2 linked regions of the Neodiprion lecontei genome follow. The protein of the gene in region 2 purifies or fractionates together with the protein of the main gene of each other region. This does not show direct contact. Links are inferred from orthologs where the notes say so. Each region holds a gene or a part of one and is shown on either strand. Other genes may lie near its edges.

What was found.
Region 1: the proteins of probable N-acetyltransferase san (region 2) and N-alpha-acetyltransferase 15, NatA auxiliary subunit purify together in Drosophila melanogaster (affinity purification with mass spectrometry, with the first as the bait; 3 studies listed by BioGRID). This does not show direct contact. The link is inferred for Neodiprion lecontei from reciprocal best matches to the Drosophila melanogaster genes san and Naa15-16.

Annotation. Positions count from the first base shown.
Region 1 is NC_060265.1:6,924,476-6,933,036, forward strand, and holds the start of N-alpha-acetyltransferase 15, NatA auxiliary subunit, read right to left. Parts: upstream 4,229-8,561; 5' UTR 3,678-4,228; coding exon 3,621-3,677; intron 3,287-3,620; coding exon 2,939-3,286; intron 2,853-2,938; coding exon 2,718-2,852; intron 2,226-2,717; coding exon 2,081-2,225; intron 1,862-2,080; coding exon 1,604-1,861; intron 1,448-1,603; coding exon 1,137-1,447; intron 1,045-1,136; coding exon 763-1,044; intron 544-762; coding exon 330-543; intron 1-329.
Region 2 is NC_060265.1:27,202,157-27,209,859, forward strand, and holds probable N-acetyltransferase san, read right to left. Parts: upstream 1,901-7,703; 5' UTR 1,692-1,900; coding exon 1,684-1,691; intron 1,545-1,683; coding exon 1,388-1,544; intron 1,215-1,387; coding exon 1,048-1,214; intron 939-1,047; coding exon 761-938; 3' UTR 663-760; downstream 1-662. Other genes in the region: serine/threonine-protein kinase SIK2, read left to right, coding at 6,391-6,477, 6,599-6,744, 6,867-6,936; tRNA pseudouridine synthase A, read left to right, coding at 4,816-4,867, 5,192-5,572, 5,802-6,096, 6,175-6,247. UniProt on the Drosophila melanogaster protein: N-alpha-acetyltransferase that acetylates the N-terminus of proteins that retain their initiating methionine. Has a broad substrate specificity: able to acetylate the initiator methionine of most peptides.

The sequences.
Region 1 (8,561 bases), about 20 Mb from region 2:
ATGTATTTCGAGTTTGCGACAGCTGATTGGTGGTAAGTAAATATAGAAAATTCCGATATTGTATGCCAGTCACAAACTACATATCTTGCGAGAAATTTCTGTCAGAGTTCCATAATTTCTTCGATACAATTTGTGGATTAGAATTAAACTGATCCTTCTAAAAAGTTTGTACTTCTGAATTTTAAGTAGATGAGATATGTCGTTATTAAAGAATGAGAATTGTCGTACCAATTTATAACGTCGTTTGAAACATTACGTATGCGAAACGGTAAACAGTAGATATGAATTATTGGGGATTAAGTTGAGTGAATAATCAAAAAATAACTCACCAGTGTCGATTTCTTGCGTCTGCGTAGGATCCGGTAGAGGATAGTCGTTTAACCTCAGGTAAACTTCTATCGCGCACTTGGCTGCTTTGAAGTAAAACGGATGTGACCGCAAAACATCTTCTAATCTTAATAAGCCAACATAGGAACGCAATGTCATTTTTCTCATGCAATACGTGTGGAAATCAAACTGATCCTCCATGATTTCCGAAAAATGCTGGAAAAAAATCAACCAATTACTACGTGCTTTATACTACGTTTAAGAGGTTCTTCGAAATGAATCTTGAAACTTGAAAAGAATACACTGTATGCATACATATTACACTGCGAAATTGGATAGATTTAAAATTTAGCAACTTAATTGGCAATGATTGAAACATGGACTGATAAGAAATAAAAGAAAGCATAAAAGGAAATAAAATATAATTAAGCTCACCCTATCGACTTCGTGACACTTTTTCAAAGCTTCTCCGTACTTCCCAAGTCGTTGGTATGCTCTTGCTGCTTCCGTCTGGAACCACATACACTGCATTTCGTTAAGATTTTCCATAGCCGGAACACCCTCCCTCGTAAACTTTCCACATGTCTCTTCTGCCTCTTTGATCAGATTTGCGCGGAGCATATATTTGGCACATTTTGAATTTATATAACGATCAGCAGTATCTAGTCCCTGTGCTTCGTCAAGCCACTTGTACGCTTCCATGACATTTCCAGCATGCTGAAAATACACGAAATGTGATAAAATTAGATGGTTGGCTATTACGGCGGTGACTTGCGCGTTATACATGCAAAAACGAAAGGAAAACTAACTTTGTAAATTCGCCCTTTTGTGACAAAAAGCTCGATCAGTGTCGGTGTATGGTCAATGGCAGCGTCAATTTCTTTTAGAGCTTTTTCGGTAAGACCAAGATGGTCATAGTGTTGGGCCAGGTAGTAGTAAGTCCATAAAAGGGCGGATGCTGGCTCCCGAGGCAGATCTTTATCACTGTCGCTGAAGTGGCCGTGATTCTTGAGAGCCTCGACATACTCAAGAAGCAACGATTTTATTGTGTCAACCTTGTGTTGATCTTTGTAAAGAGATCGCAGGTTTACGAACAGTGGCGGAACACCTTTGTGAAGGCCTGCATGAAAATTTAAAGAACAGTGAACGATATTAGAATTTTAGTATAGCTTTTCTGTTGATAAGACCGTGAGTGATAAATTTTTATCTGTAGAGCACACTTGTACAGCTTTGTCTGTTTGTCAATATTTGGAAACGTAGATATTCGTCATCGTACCTTTTCTGAGGTACTGGTCAACTAAAACTTTGAATGTTTCTCCTGTCGCATAGTTCAATTGTAATCTTCTCGGTGCCAGAGCTCGGGGAAATAAATCTTGATATCGCTGAAGCATTTCCAACGTTTTTTCAGGCGAAGAATGCCTTTCAGCTTCGGCCAGCCTGGCGTAATACGTCGTATTTTCCGGATTTAAATTCAGCAATTCTTTAAAAACTTGTTCAGCCTCGGAAAATTGTTCTAACTCTAGTCTCAGTTTTCCTGAAAGTAAAAATTTTCATTATTCATAAAACGTGTACATTTGCCATCAAAAAATAAATAAAAATTGTCAATGGCATTGAGGACCTTGTTCAATTTGTCGGGTCAATATGATAACAAGTTTACCATGAACTTTTCACACAATTCATAAAACTTTAACTTGTGGAAATATAAGACACTTAGTGAATAAATGTACGAAGTTGTGAAGTTATGCTGACTCACCATACGTTTCTTTGACTGTGATTTTGTCACAGATTTGGTCACAGTACTTATCCAAATGCTTCAAGGCCTGCTCACTTTCCCCAGATTCTTGAATGACCAGGTTTTGGTATAACAGTAGTTCGCTATGCTCGTAGTCGTAACAACTCTGGGAAATCCAGTCAGTAACATAAGTACTATCTGAATATTACTCGATAAATAATCCCAAATGTAAAACAAATAAATTTAAATTTTGAATCTCCGACTAAAATGAAGTGCTAATAATATTGGAATATCAAAATATTGGGAATGCTGCGTTAAATAATTATTAACGGCTTGAATGTTTTGTTGGAAAATTGGACGTTAATATTAGAAAGAGGTTACGTTTTATATACAATTTTAGAAACATTTGTGCAGACTGCGTTTCTAAGAATTATAACGATGACTCAAAACCTGGATATTGTTCCACCAAAAATTTGATAATAATCTATAGCATTATCAAAATAAAATATACTAGAGAGCCAAGCAGTTTTTTAAATAAATATATGTTATATTCTAAATGATTGATTTATAATCAAATTCCCTGATTTTTTTTCAGTTTACTTAGTTTATAGCAAGCTCTACGGTATTCAATGCCAGATGTTAGTCACACTCGACTTACCATTTGTGAATTACGAAACGTGTCCAAAATCCTTAAAGCCATTTCATAATCTTTGAGTAAATGATACGACATCGCAAAGCCGATCCAAGAAGCGCGTTGGGTTGGGCGCAGCATGAACAACTGATACCTCGTATCCTGTTAGATAATAAAGAAAAAATTTAGTTCCGTTACTGGATTTTGACTGAATTATTCATACTGAAGACAGAAAAACTGAAACTAGCCTTGTATCCATCCAAATCTCGCATTTGAATTTGCAAGAGGGACAAGTCTCTGAGAATTTGGATGTTATCCTTGTCCCATTTGAGAGCATTGCGATAACACTTGATAGCTTCGTCATACTTTTTGTCAGATCGTTGGAGCAGACCGTAAACATGCCAACAGACGTGAGATCTTAGATCATTTCTCAGGCCACGTCGCACATGATCGTAAGCTTCCTCTTTGCGGCCCAGGCAGTTTAATGTCAGACCCTTCATCGCCAGGGTCTCGCCATGTTCGCTGTACTTTGGGTTGGACAATATTTGCTTGGCAAATTTGAGGCCATTTTTGTATTGTTTGTGTTCGTAGCATCTCTGTAAAACAATTTTAATTTACGGTTACTAAGATATTATAGGTGCACAAGTGTATTTTCATGCTTGATATTCGTACTGATGAGGTAGAAAACGCATAATTCGCTGACGGAAAGCTACAGTACGGATTCGTCGAGGGGTTAAGGAGTCAGAGATGCGTGAAATTCCGGGGTTGTGAAAATTAATAAAATTACGTAAATGTGTCTCAGTAATTCGAAACGATTTTGTAATGTTTTCGAAGAGTGCTTCATCATTAGGGCATGAGGAGGAATTCGAGGCATGGGAGAGCCGGGGAGTGGGGTGCAAAACAAGAGTATTTTGGTAGGGTGTTACTCACCAAAATTCGCTTGAATAAGGCATTTTCTTTTGGTGGTAAGGGGTTACTGGATGGCATTTTTGTATAAATACAAAAATCAAGGGCCTATTCAACCCGGTAAACTCAATTTTCACCGCAAAAACCTCGTGGCCGCAAACCAAGAAGTCGATCTTCGATCACGTGATCATCCGCGACAATGATGTTCCGCCGGAAACGTGAAGCGCACGGAGGCGCGTTATTGAAATATTATTCGTTATTAGGTAATATGCAGTCTGGCAACATGTGAATCTTCAATAGTCGAATACCGTTCACTTTCAAAAACCGTAATTAATGTATTGTTCATCAACATTTACCAGCTGATGTACTGCGCCACCATCTATTCAATCGGCAATTTTCGTAACAGTATTCACTTATTTTTATACAATTACATTCAGTCACCGTGAAAAATATGACACTTAGCATCAAAGGGGCACGCTAAATTGTACTGTATCGAAGTTGACCGTGATAGAAATAAACCTCAGGTGAAGTCAATAATCCTTATATAAATGACAAAAGTAGGGTAGCATTCGAGGGCAGCGCATGTAGGTGGGGGAGAAGGCTTGATTGTGAGACAAGGGGAGCTTTCCAGCAAGGAGACACAGTATGACACTGTGTTACACGGTCGAACACTGTGCCTTGGTGCTTGTTGGAACGCTTTGAGGTTCTTAATTCAGTCACTAGAGTCCGCTCATGCATGATACGAAAAATCTAGGAACACTGAGCGCTCCAGGAAAAAAAAACATTTGTGAAACGCGTGTAGATTATCATTGCATTTAATAAAGAAATATAAACAATACCATGCGTCGAAAATAAAATCTCTAACAAAAAAATTGGCAGCAATGAATCCGACACAGTGTCCAACCATGCTCCGCAGCTGTGTCCGACTGTGTCGTTCTGTGTCGTTGTTGGAAAGCACCATGTTCGACACAGTGTCGCTCTGTGTCGCTCTGTGTTGCTCTGTGTCGTTGCTGGAAAGCTCGCAGAGTGAGATGGCGTATGGGCGAAAGAGGAAAAGACAGAGAAAGAGAGAGAGCATAGAAAGTGAGAGATGCACTCGTAAACGAGTTAGATAAAATACTTAGTCATAAACGAGCGCGGGACTTTAAAAGTTACTGGACGTAGAATCGATTTGTGTGACCCTATCCTGACTAATTGGACGCCGAAAAACGCAAAATATGCATCTGATGGAGTGTAGCACCAATAGTAGAGAAGTTCCGAGGAGTACTCACTCGTTTTTTAGCTGTAACTCTTGATCCGATGCTCGCAGGATGTTCGGGCTGCGACCAATCGATTTCTATCGTAGAATTACGTCGATATGGAACGTGAAAAATTGATTCCGAAATTTTTCGAATACGCCACAAGTTTTTCTATAAATCCAAACAGGTAAGTCTTACCACGGAATGTAGTGGCTTGGGTGCTAGTATTCGTGACTGCGGAGCGAAAGGACTCGGTTTCAAATCCCCTACCTTACAATTAGGTCCTGAATGGCATCTTGCAAGATTGTAAGGGTCGTTGACTGAAAAATATAAAGACAGTTGCCCTAATGGGGCTTTGGTGTGACAACCGGAAACCGTCGTGCGTTGAGAACTTATTGCAGAACATCAGAGAGTTACCGATTTCGACGTGATGCTGGCTGCATTCGCCTTCCGAGTAGCACAGTTTTCGCTATGGTAAGCCTAAGCCAGTACTTAGCCTGTGTGTACTTACCGGCTTGTCGGCGATACAAGAAATTAATAATGAGCACAAATTTCTTCCAAAATTCGTAGCGAAACAGTGAATTAATTAAGGTAGAGGTACCCAAGACAAAAATGTATACATAGATCATAAATAATATATCAAATGTGATAATGATGCAGAGACCAAAAAGTATATCTGTACATGCGGTCTGTAGTGTATTCGAGTTGGCATGATTGTTTTCCCACTTGATGATCCGAACTCGTGGACTTGATAGCTCAGTCTTTATTTAGCCTGTATACGGTATTCGTGTTCGAATAAATCTTGAGTAATTAGTAGAATTAGTTCGACGAACCTTTCATTTTCAATTAGTAGTCGACCTTTTATTAATTATTACTTCCCCAAGACATTACACGGTGCATGTACGATATTAATAAATATGATCCGTTTACGATTAATACGTAATGCACACTATAATTTTTATAATTTTTCATGAGACAAACTAGATTGAGCTAGTCACAAGTGAAGTAACTACGTTGGATAGAGGAGCAGAATTGTTTTTCGATAAGTGTTCGTATGGAAACAAATGCGGAGTAACTGTAATACATCACGGATGCGCTAATTTTAATCGAAATGAAATGGATGCTCTGTATATGAGACAGTATTTAACGCAGTGCCCTGATTCAAAGCCTAAAAAGGTGCAGATTGTCGGCGATTTTCTTTTTTTGATAGGGTGAAATAGAACGAAGCTTCATGAAACTTCGAGTGGATTTCAACAAATTTAAAATGTAGGAGCAAACATTTTTATCATTCGACTGCCGCAGAACGGTAGCGTTGTTAGCTGACCCGTTAACTGAAGAATATATCTTTAGTCAACGGCTGACCATCGAAGGGCCTAGCCGCTTGAGTCTGGAATCGGCAGGAAAGATTGAGTGCGTATTTCTTGTCTGAAATGCGAATACTAAAATCATTATACATTTTATCATATCATCATACATCACATCATACGTCATCATATCATACATAGCATTAAAGTTCGAAACCAAAGTTTGGATGTCGTATGTTCAGAAAGTAACGTCACCCAAAATTTTTTTTTCTCTTGACGTCATCGATCTAAAATCAGCTAGTCGAATTGCTCAGTCTGGGAACAACCGCGCAGTAGAGCGGACGGATGAGAATCGCGCTCCGCAGATTTCCATTGCCGGGTTCTCTACCTCCTGGATCCTGCGCTCCGGGTCCGCTTCCTGGTATAACTCGAGTTCCAGGACAAGCGGTACGTAGTTTTTACGCTCTAGGTCCGCTACCTGTTGAAAACTCGACTTCCAGGAAAAGCGCTACGTATTTTCTGCGCTCAAGGTCCACTACTTGCGGAAACTTGACTTCCAGGACAAGCGCCCGATGGTTCCTGCGCTCCAGGTCCGCTACCTGGTAAAATTCGACTTCCAGGAAAAGCGCTTCGTAGTTTCTGCGCTCAAGGTCCACTACCAGCAAGAACTTGACTTCCAGGACAAGTGCTCCGCAATTCTGGCTGTCCAGGCCCACCACGTGCAGGAACTAGACTTGCAGGTCAAGCGCTCCGTGTGTCCTGCGCTTCAGGTATGCTACCTGGGAAAACTTGATTGAGGGAAAAGCGCTCAGTATTTCGTGCGCTCCAGGTCCACTACCTAGTAAAACTCGACTTCCAGGACGAACGCTGCGTGGTTCCTGCGCTCCAGGTTCACTACCTGGTGAAACTCGACTTCCAGGACGAACGCTCCGTGGTTTCTGCGCACCAGGTCCGCTACCTAGTAAAACTCAATTTCAGGAAGAAGTGCTCCGAAGTTTCTGAGCTCAGGTTCACTACCTGGTGAAACTCAACTTCCAGGACAAGCGCTCCGTAGCTTCTGCGCTCCAAGTCCACTACCTAATGAAACTCGACTTCAGAGACATGTGGTGAATGAGGAGGAAGAGGACGAGGATTTCTGCTCAGTGAGTAAAACATTTCTATGATATTTAATGGCTATTGTAATTATATTTTATCTGAAATTTTTTGAATCTTGTCATGTGTACAATAAATCATTTCAATTCATTTTTCACGCAAGCACAAATTCGGTAGCTATGAATGCGCTAATGGAATTAATAATATTGTTAATTACTTAACTGATTATATTAATCCTTACGTAATGTTTTGGATGTGTTCTTATACTGAAAATATTTATTGCTATTTCAGGTATAACCCGAGGTGGTTAACGGTGGTTGGAAGTGGTCGGAGTTGAACGAGGAGGAGGACGAGGACTTGTGCTCGGTGAGTAAAACATTTTTATAACATTTTATGGCAATTGTAATTATATTTCATCTGAAATATTACAAACTTGTCGCGTTTACAATAAATTATTTCAATTCATTTTTCGCGCAAGCACATGTTCAGTAGCTTCAAATGGGCTAGTAAAATTTATTATATTATTAATTAATTAATTAATTCTATTAATCCTTGAACAATATTTTTGATGTGTTCTTATACTAAAAATATTCATTACTATTCAAGGTATAACCCGAGGTAGTTCGCGTTGGTTGCGGGTGATCGAGGTGGGCGAGGAGGAGGACGAGGATGACGACGACTTGTACACTGTGAGTATAACATTTTTATCATATTCATTAGAGTAGGAGTAGGATCAGAAGTAGAAGTAGTAGGAGTAGAAGTAGAAGTGGTAGAAGTAGGAGTAGGAATAGGAGTAGTCGTAGTAGTAGGAGTTGGAGTAGAGTAAGAGTAGAAGTAGATGTATGCGGGGAGGGGCGGGGAGGGGATATTATCATATCAAGTTATCAGTAATAAGTAATTGCGGGTAAAATATTAGCTTACTTTTGTAAGTATTTATGAATACAGCCTCTATGAATATTCATTGTTGTTATATAAGGTCTGGCAACGTACCTACCTTCTGTAAGAGATTTTGAAGATTTTCAACATAATTATGTTTCAGTTCTGTGCCCCACGTGGTGATCCACTAGTACACATCCTCCGACGTGACATCGCTGTGCTACGTATAAAGAAGAAAAGATTTATTAAGGTGCAAATTGCTCCTCTCTTCTTGCCATTGTGCTTTCAGCCATTGTTGTACTGTGTGTTTAAAATTTAGGACAGTACATAATATAGAATAACATGTACATCTACGAATATAGCACTGCAATAAATCTTGTAGAAATGAGCTCACATTGAGATTTCTCTGTATTTATAATTCGACGCGAGAAGGCAAAAATCAATGTAATGCCATC
Region 2 (7,703 bases):
AAGCCACTCGAAGCACCTGCTTCACATAATAACCATTTAGGTAATAAGCTTCTGGTTGCTAACTACAGGATTCAATTGTTACTACATGTTGGCTTGCACATCTAATATTTAAATGAATTGTATTATATTTATTCTAATGAGCGATCTATTTCTATACATGAATTTAGTCAATTTAGTTGTATTCCAAAATACGGTCATAAGCCGTACAGGACAGGTGAGATTCCAAAATATATGTAAGATCAAGCAGCTACACAATAATTCAAGGTGAAATCTCTTTGAAGTACTTATTATGCTGGGAATGTATATTGAAGTTTTCCAGAAATAATTCATGTGTTATTGGTGATAAGTAACAAATACGTGACGATGCTATATTTATATTACGAACCGGTGAAAGTTACGTGAATTGAAGAATTTCTCCCTACCAGAGTTGAATTTTATCTATGTTGTAACAGATGTAATTGAAAAATTATGAAGCTAACTAAATTTATCTATGTTGTACACTAACCAAACAATAAATGTTCGAGTTTTTTTAGTAAACACCTAGATCGTGTTCAATTTTCAGTGTTGACACTGTTTGTATGTGGTTCAATTCGAATTGAAATTGATTAGAACTGTCCATTTTATTACTAGTGCTAAATTTTTCACGATAGGTTATACAAAAATTGGATATAAGGAACAATTTTTATTGACAATTTGTACAGCAGATAACATTATACGATGAAAACAGATGATGGAAGATTGATACATGAAGAGAATTTATTCATTGACTTGCTGATTGATTTTGATGATTAGCTGTTGTTGGCGGGCGCAAAGTTTTTTGTAACACATGTGCGTCTGCAGGTTCGATACGTTTGTAGTAATGTTTTTTCGTTTCAACAACTTCAAAGCCGAACTTTTTGTAGAAATCAATAGCCCCCTCGTTGTTAACTTGTACGTGGCTGATCAAAAGCAGAAGCAACACGTTAATAAAAGAACTTCATGCGCTCAGTTCAATTTAGACTATGTGTGGAGATTTTGTAAATTAAATAAGTAACTCAAATAACTTACAGGAATATCGAGTCAAAATTCCCGTCTTTAGAGACATAATTAAGTACATGTTGTACCATAACAGTGCCGATCCCCAGTCGTCTATAAGGGTACAAACATCCCAAAGTCATTATATACAAACGGCGCGAGTTCTCTGAGGTATCTACACGACAACACACAGCCCCTACCTGAAATTAGTGTTTGAAGATAAACTGTTTGAAAATATTTATGCTAGTGACATCCGAACTGTTTCATACGTAAATCTGTGTAGCTGGGATTGGAATACCACATGTGTGAAAGGAGACTAAATTTTGCTTGTCAGGGATATATAATTATCTATGAGTCGAATTAAATAACATACCACAATGTCATTATAGTAAGCGAGTTTAGCCAGCTCGCCAGCCTCCAAGACGTCTTTGTAGAATTTCTCGTTATACGAGACAGGAAATACGACTTGATTAAGCAGTTTCAATTGCTTTATGTTGTGGGGTGTAACATCCCCCAATTCTATCTTTGATCTGTGCGTTGATAAAGGAAAATAATTATTGCTATATAGTTGCAAGGTATAATGGGCAAAAATATTTTTAAATACAATTCGTCGAGCATGCAGCAACGGTCGGCAGTCTAACCTCAAATTTGGGACACACGGTTACTCACCTTGTCATTATACGTTAATAGATATTCACCTATCTCAAAATAAATAAATTTCTACAAATAAATGCGTGAAAACGCTAGTCAGGTAAGGTACTGTAGTCGTCAATAAATAATATTCAGATCAAAATGAGCGATTCGTGCGGTACTTCGAATCCCTCCGAAAATTTCGTCTGCAGTCGGAGCTAGGTGAAGGTGGTAAAGATACGAATAGGCGGGATAGGGTTAGTGGACGCCCTGTGAAGATATCTACAAGCAGTATCAGTCAGCAAAGTAGAACACCCCTCATGTCGACGTACCGACAGTCAAAATTGCGATGTTCTTTTTTTTTTTATTTTGCCGCTCAACCGCTAGCACAAGCGTGATTCTGCAGCGGCTGCCTTCAGGTAACTCACGGAATTCTGGGAAGATGAGAAGTTCGAACGTGCTTCGGTCGCGTGCTGAATGTCGAATTTGTGCGAATTTCTGCTTAGTGTGAGGATTTTTTTTGTCATTAACCCGGTTTGTGAGGCTGGCATTGTGAACTGATCGTCAAATAAACAGTTCAAAGTCACCAAGAGGATCGTTTCAGTGAAGTATGCCTGCGACCGGATTTTCTAACGCTGAACAAATGACGATAGCAATTCGACTGTTACGTACTTCAACTGTATGACTAAATTGGTGAAATATTTTCGGTGAATTCATAGAAAAATCATCCGATGCTATTCACTTCAGGACGTTCCATTTTTATTTCGTCGCGTTTATTTCGGGTACGAGAAGTGATATACGATCGCTACAACAAAATGCATAGGTATGTCTAATAGTGTCGTAGATATTTAATATTTGTGCCGATGTGATGAGTTTTTTGTTATTCTGTTGCGTAGTTCATTTCTTAGTGCATCAAAAGTTACTGAAATATTACGAAGAAAAAGTTTTTTTTTGACACGGACAGTCTTTAGTGACGTAAAAACTGTCGCGTGTGTAATGAGTGTGGGTAAAATTCTACTATTTCCTTATAACAGCCTAATTAGAAGTGTGTTACCATTCAACCTGAACAGCTACTACGAGAACTACTACATTCAAAGTATGGAGCAACCTGGAGAAAGTAAGAATACTTAGGGTGATAATTTTTTAATAACTCAAAATAGTCCCTTTGAAACCGAATTTTTGTCCTTGAATAACATGCGGTGAATAAATATGGAAATAGACAACAGTGATAATTAATTAGAGTAGTGAAAATCTCCAGCTTACATGTACGTCGGCACTGTTTGCTAAATTAACTCGAGTTTTGTTTTTTGTCGTTTCCAGAGTTAAGCAGAGACATCCGAGTAACTTCTCCATTACTTGGCAACGTTGGTGAGTTTGCATGTGTTAGGTTACGGGTATTTCCCTGGTTTTCCTCTGTCACGTGGCGTGGCGGTAACAATTGTTACACAAATTGTTTCGATTTCTTGCCTGGATAGGTTCATTCACGATCGCAACGGTGCTTTTCTTTCAGTCAAATCATTATTTTTGCAATCTAATTGGCAGTAGCTTACTTGAATTTAGAAATTTTGCCCGTTGCGATGGATTCACCAGAGGGTTAATTATACGGTCGTTTAATCATATTCACATGATCGTTAAATTGATGAAATTTCAAAGTCTGGCATAATGTAACGTAATCGAATTTCATGCCGTACCTTGAATCATTTCGAATTTTTTACGATTCAGCAAGTACAAATCAACTGCAGATTTAGCTCGCTTAGATAATTACTGATGAGCATACAGGATATGTTACTAATCAATTTTACAAAATGTTGATGTACCAATAGTTTCCAGCATCATTGAAATACTTAAACGAAGTATATTTATTGCACCTGGCTGACTACAGTACAGCAACATTTTGCTCCCTACAGGTGATCAACGAAAAAGTAAGTCACAGTGACCACGGCGCGAATGAGGAAGAATGATGTGTGTTGGAAAAAATGGGGGATCGTTTAGATCGAATATAGGTAACCGGGTACGTAGGTGGTCGTTTTGGGATCCGTCGCTGTGTTAGTGGATTTGCGTGTGAGTTTTTCTTTTCAACATCTCCGTTGGGTGGTTCCGTTGGGAATCAGGCGAGGGTAGGAAGGCCGCGATGTATCGTGATGTTACTAACTTTTTTAATCCACAGCGTCAAACGAACACAGAGATTCCCCTCCTGAAACATAAGAACGACTCCGCGGTACAAAAATCTTGGAATCATTTATAAGCTTATAAGCTTTTTAACCTAACGATATTCGATCCAATTATTCAGTCATTACTAATCATTGCTTTATTCGATTGACCTCTGTGATCGTATGAATGGGCAAAACGCATCTCTGGATCATCTATTGCGTTCCGTGGTACGCTGGATGGGGAGAGATGCTGAGCTCGAAGACTTCGCGTCGAAGAGGACCGCCGACCGTCACGCCACACAATAATGCATGCCTTTCAACCTCCCTTCCGGACTTGATTCGCATCTGAGAATAAACAATCCGCATCGTAATGTGTCGGATTTGAGAAGACGCAGATGCGGATTGGGATTCGACAGAAATTTCCGACAAGTCCTAGATATTTAAGGTTTTTTTACAGATTAATTAAAGTTCTCAAGTTTGACCGCGTCTTTAGCGCGTCGACTTGGTATTTTTTTGGTTATTAAGGAAAGTGGAGCTTTCTTAGAAAAAGTCGAAGGCTCGGTATTTACAAGCCGGCTTAATGTTGATTAAGAAACGTATAATTTTTTCTTGTCAACAGAAATAATAGAGCTAAAGACTGTAGAAGCAAATGATAATAAATTCATTGTAAAGTGAAGAAAAACGCATGATTCTAGATCTTCTAGGTGAATGCATCAGCCGTACCGCTACTACAGATTGCTTACTGATTGCCATAATTGTTGATGTCGGTAAGTTACCATTCAATTCTTGTCGTACACAAATCCCCATAAGGCTGGCTCTCTGACAGAATGTGATTACTCCATGACACCACACCATAGGCGTAGGCGATCACTCAACAGTGTGTGGATCTCTATATACACAGTGGATATAAGTATGTGCATGCTGGTTGTGCAGCTTTTTACTTGAGCATGTCTTGAAGGTATCTATATTTCCTCGCGTGTAAACGAGGTGAATTTTGCGCATAAGGAAACTGCGTCCACAAATGTATCGCTATATTTGCAAGGAGACACTTGTCAATAATCTTTGCTTGTTCCGTAAGTACTAGTCTATTCCATATTATACTTAATTTCAGTCCATCATTACGACTCCTCAGTGCAGGGCTCATAACCTAGTCGCCTATTCGCTGAGAAGTACCAATCGTAATAAATTTTTCTTCATCGTAAACATTTCGAATCCGTTAGACTTGTTTATCGATAATAGCCGTATGCATGTTGCGTGTTACATCTCTCAGTATTCCAATAAAAGGCATATTTCATTATTGCATAGAAGTTTTGTGTTTTCTCTTAGTGTAATTCAAATTTTCCACACTTTGAGATTTCACTTCATTGTCTGAACATAACCTGTCAACTTTTCCCTAGGGTCTTTTAAATGCAGGAAAATGTTCTCTGCCCTGGCCCCAGTTGTCGATGAGAACGTCGCTGTTCCAGTTCTGGATAACAAAAGGCTGATAGAAGAGCCGCCAGAGGATAGCGATAACAAGAAACAAAAATTGGATAATGCGGACAGAGTGAAGAAGCGAAAAGTGGCAATGCTTTTGGGTTATTTGGGAAAAAATTATTACGGTATGCAGAGAAATCCACAAATGAAAACGATAGAGGAGGACTTGATACAGGCTTTACTCCAAGCAAAGCTCATAAATGATGAAGCTTTTGAAACTATACAGACAATTCAGTTTCAAAGAGCCGCTAGAACAGACAAAGGTGTTTCTGCAGTCAGACAGGTTGTCTCTCTGAAACTACGTAAGATTAAAATACTTTTGGCAAATACGACTGTGCATGGAATTTTTAAGATACGCTTGTGGTAGTGAGTTAGCCGATCTGCGAAGTAAACATATCTGACTCTTCGACTACTTTCAGTATTCAACATGTATACTTGGCCTTGAATTACCTAATAGGCGACGTTTTGTACTTAGGCGAGATATTCAAAGTTATATCAAGGATTGATTCACCATTCAGATCATTTTCACAGCTGAGCATGGGAAGAAGGAAGATATAAATGCGTTTTTGCCCGAAGAAATCAGAGTTTTTGGAATAAAGAGGGTAACGAAAGGTTTCAACAGTAAAAGCAGCTGTGATGCTCGGTCTTATATCTACACGATGCCAACTTTCGCTTTTGCAAAAAAACCGCCAGATTCGGAAGTGCTAAACGAGGAATATGACGTTGATAAAAAAATTGAGGAGCTTTCTGTTATCAATGGTGAACCATTCCACAAGTACCGGATACAGCCAGATGTACTTGAGAAGGTCCAATCGGTGCTGAAACTGTATGAAGGAACTCATAATTTCCATAATTTTACATCAAAAGTGTAAGAGCAACGAGCTTATAGAATTTTCCTTTTCAGGTTTACGTTAATAGCGCGAATAACAAATGGTGAATTTTTATTCGCAGAAAACCATTGGATCCGTCTGCAATGAGATATATGATAGATTGCTCGTGTAGCGATCCGTTCGTCATCAATGATATGGAATTTGTTACTCTTAAGATCAAGGGGCAAAGTTTTATGTTGCACCAAATTCGAAAAATGGTTGCATTGGTTATAGCCATTATCAGAACTCAGACATCGGAAGAAACTTTGAATGCAGCTTTTGGACCAGGGAAGCTAGACATTCCGATGGCGCCTAGTTTAGGATTAGTTTTGGATCAGGTTCGAGAAAAATACGATATCTTCATTAATTTCTTGAATTCTGGAACCGCATTTGTATTTTTACTTTCTGCAAAAACGCCTTGTTTTACTTGTTCAGTTGAATCATATTTATCGCCACTAGGTTCATTATGACAGATATAACAAACGATATAGTTCGGATGGAATTCACGAGGCTCTAGAATGGCCAGAGGTCAATGATGAGATTGTCAAATTCAAGGAAGACTACATACTGAACTACATCTGTGAGAGCGAGCAGAGTGAAAAGTCGTATCCTTGATCTGATGACTTTTAGTGACAATCTATACTTTTATTCATCTTTCATTTTATACTCTTGTCAAAGTTAGAAGTTTCATCATACACTTCCAAGATTTTCCTTAATCGATTCCTAGGATGCTTCAATGGTTGGCTACACTGTGCAGACATAGCTACGATATCCGCGAAGACAGCGTTATCAGTTAATGTCATGCTTCCAAATTGATTATCAATTATAATATAATAGATGCAATATACCCTGATTTAATAACACGTATAATGTATTAAATCCTTGACATACAGTATTCTCCTCATTTCTTGTTTTACATTCTAATAATTATTATTGTAAATAACGGATTGAATTGAAGAGAAAATTAGTATGAGCATATGTGAAAGTAAGCAATAATGCGAAAAGGATTAATCAATTCCATATTTGCTGGAATGGTTTTAAATTTACACAAACTAATTAAGGTTAATAAAAACCAAAATTAATGTCGTCGAACTTGTTAATTATTCAGTTATATTTCAGCATAGTATTGCGTAATGTTTCAAAAATAGAAGCGGCCATTTCTCTTTCGATTTACTGACGATTCAGAAATTTGTCCAGATGCGGTATTGATGATTATAAAAAGAATTATTTTGATGCAACGCAGCAAATGAATTGTAAAGGTCGTACATAAATTTTGTGATAACTTGCACTTTCATTCATTTTTTCGAATAACTCTTCAGCCTTCACTGATTTCACCACCACGTGCGTTGCGTTTATACTGATTTCTTTCTCTCTTCTGCGCTGTCACGGACAATATTTCTCCCAATCCTTTCAGTTCAGTACGACCATTTGACTCGCGAAGACTGGCTTTTCATATATATGTGCTGAACTCCTGATTTCCGGCGCTTTTCGAGGCACGCCGAAGGGCGAGACAGTGTTTCATATTTTCGTTGACATGATCCTGTTCATTAGTATCAAATTTTTG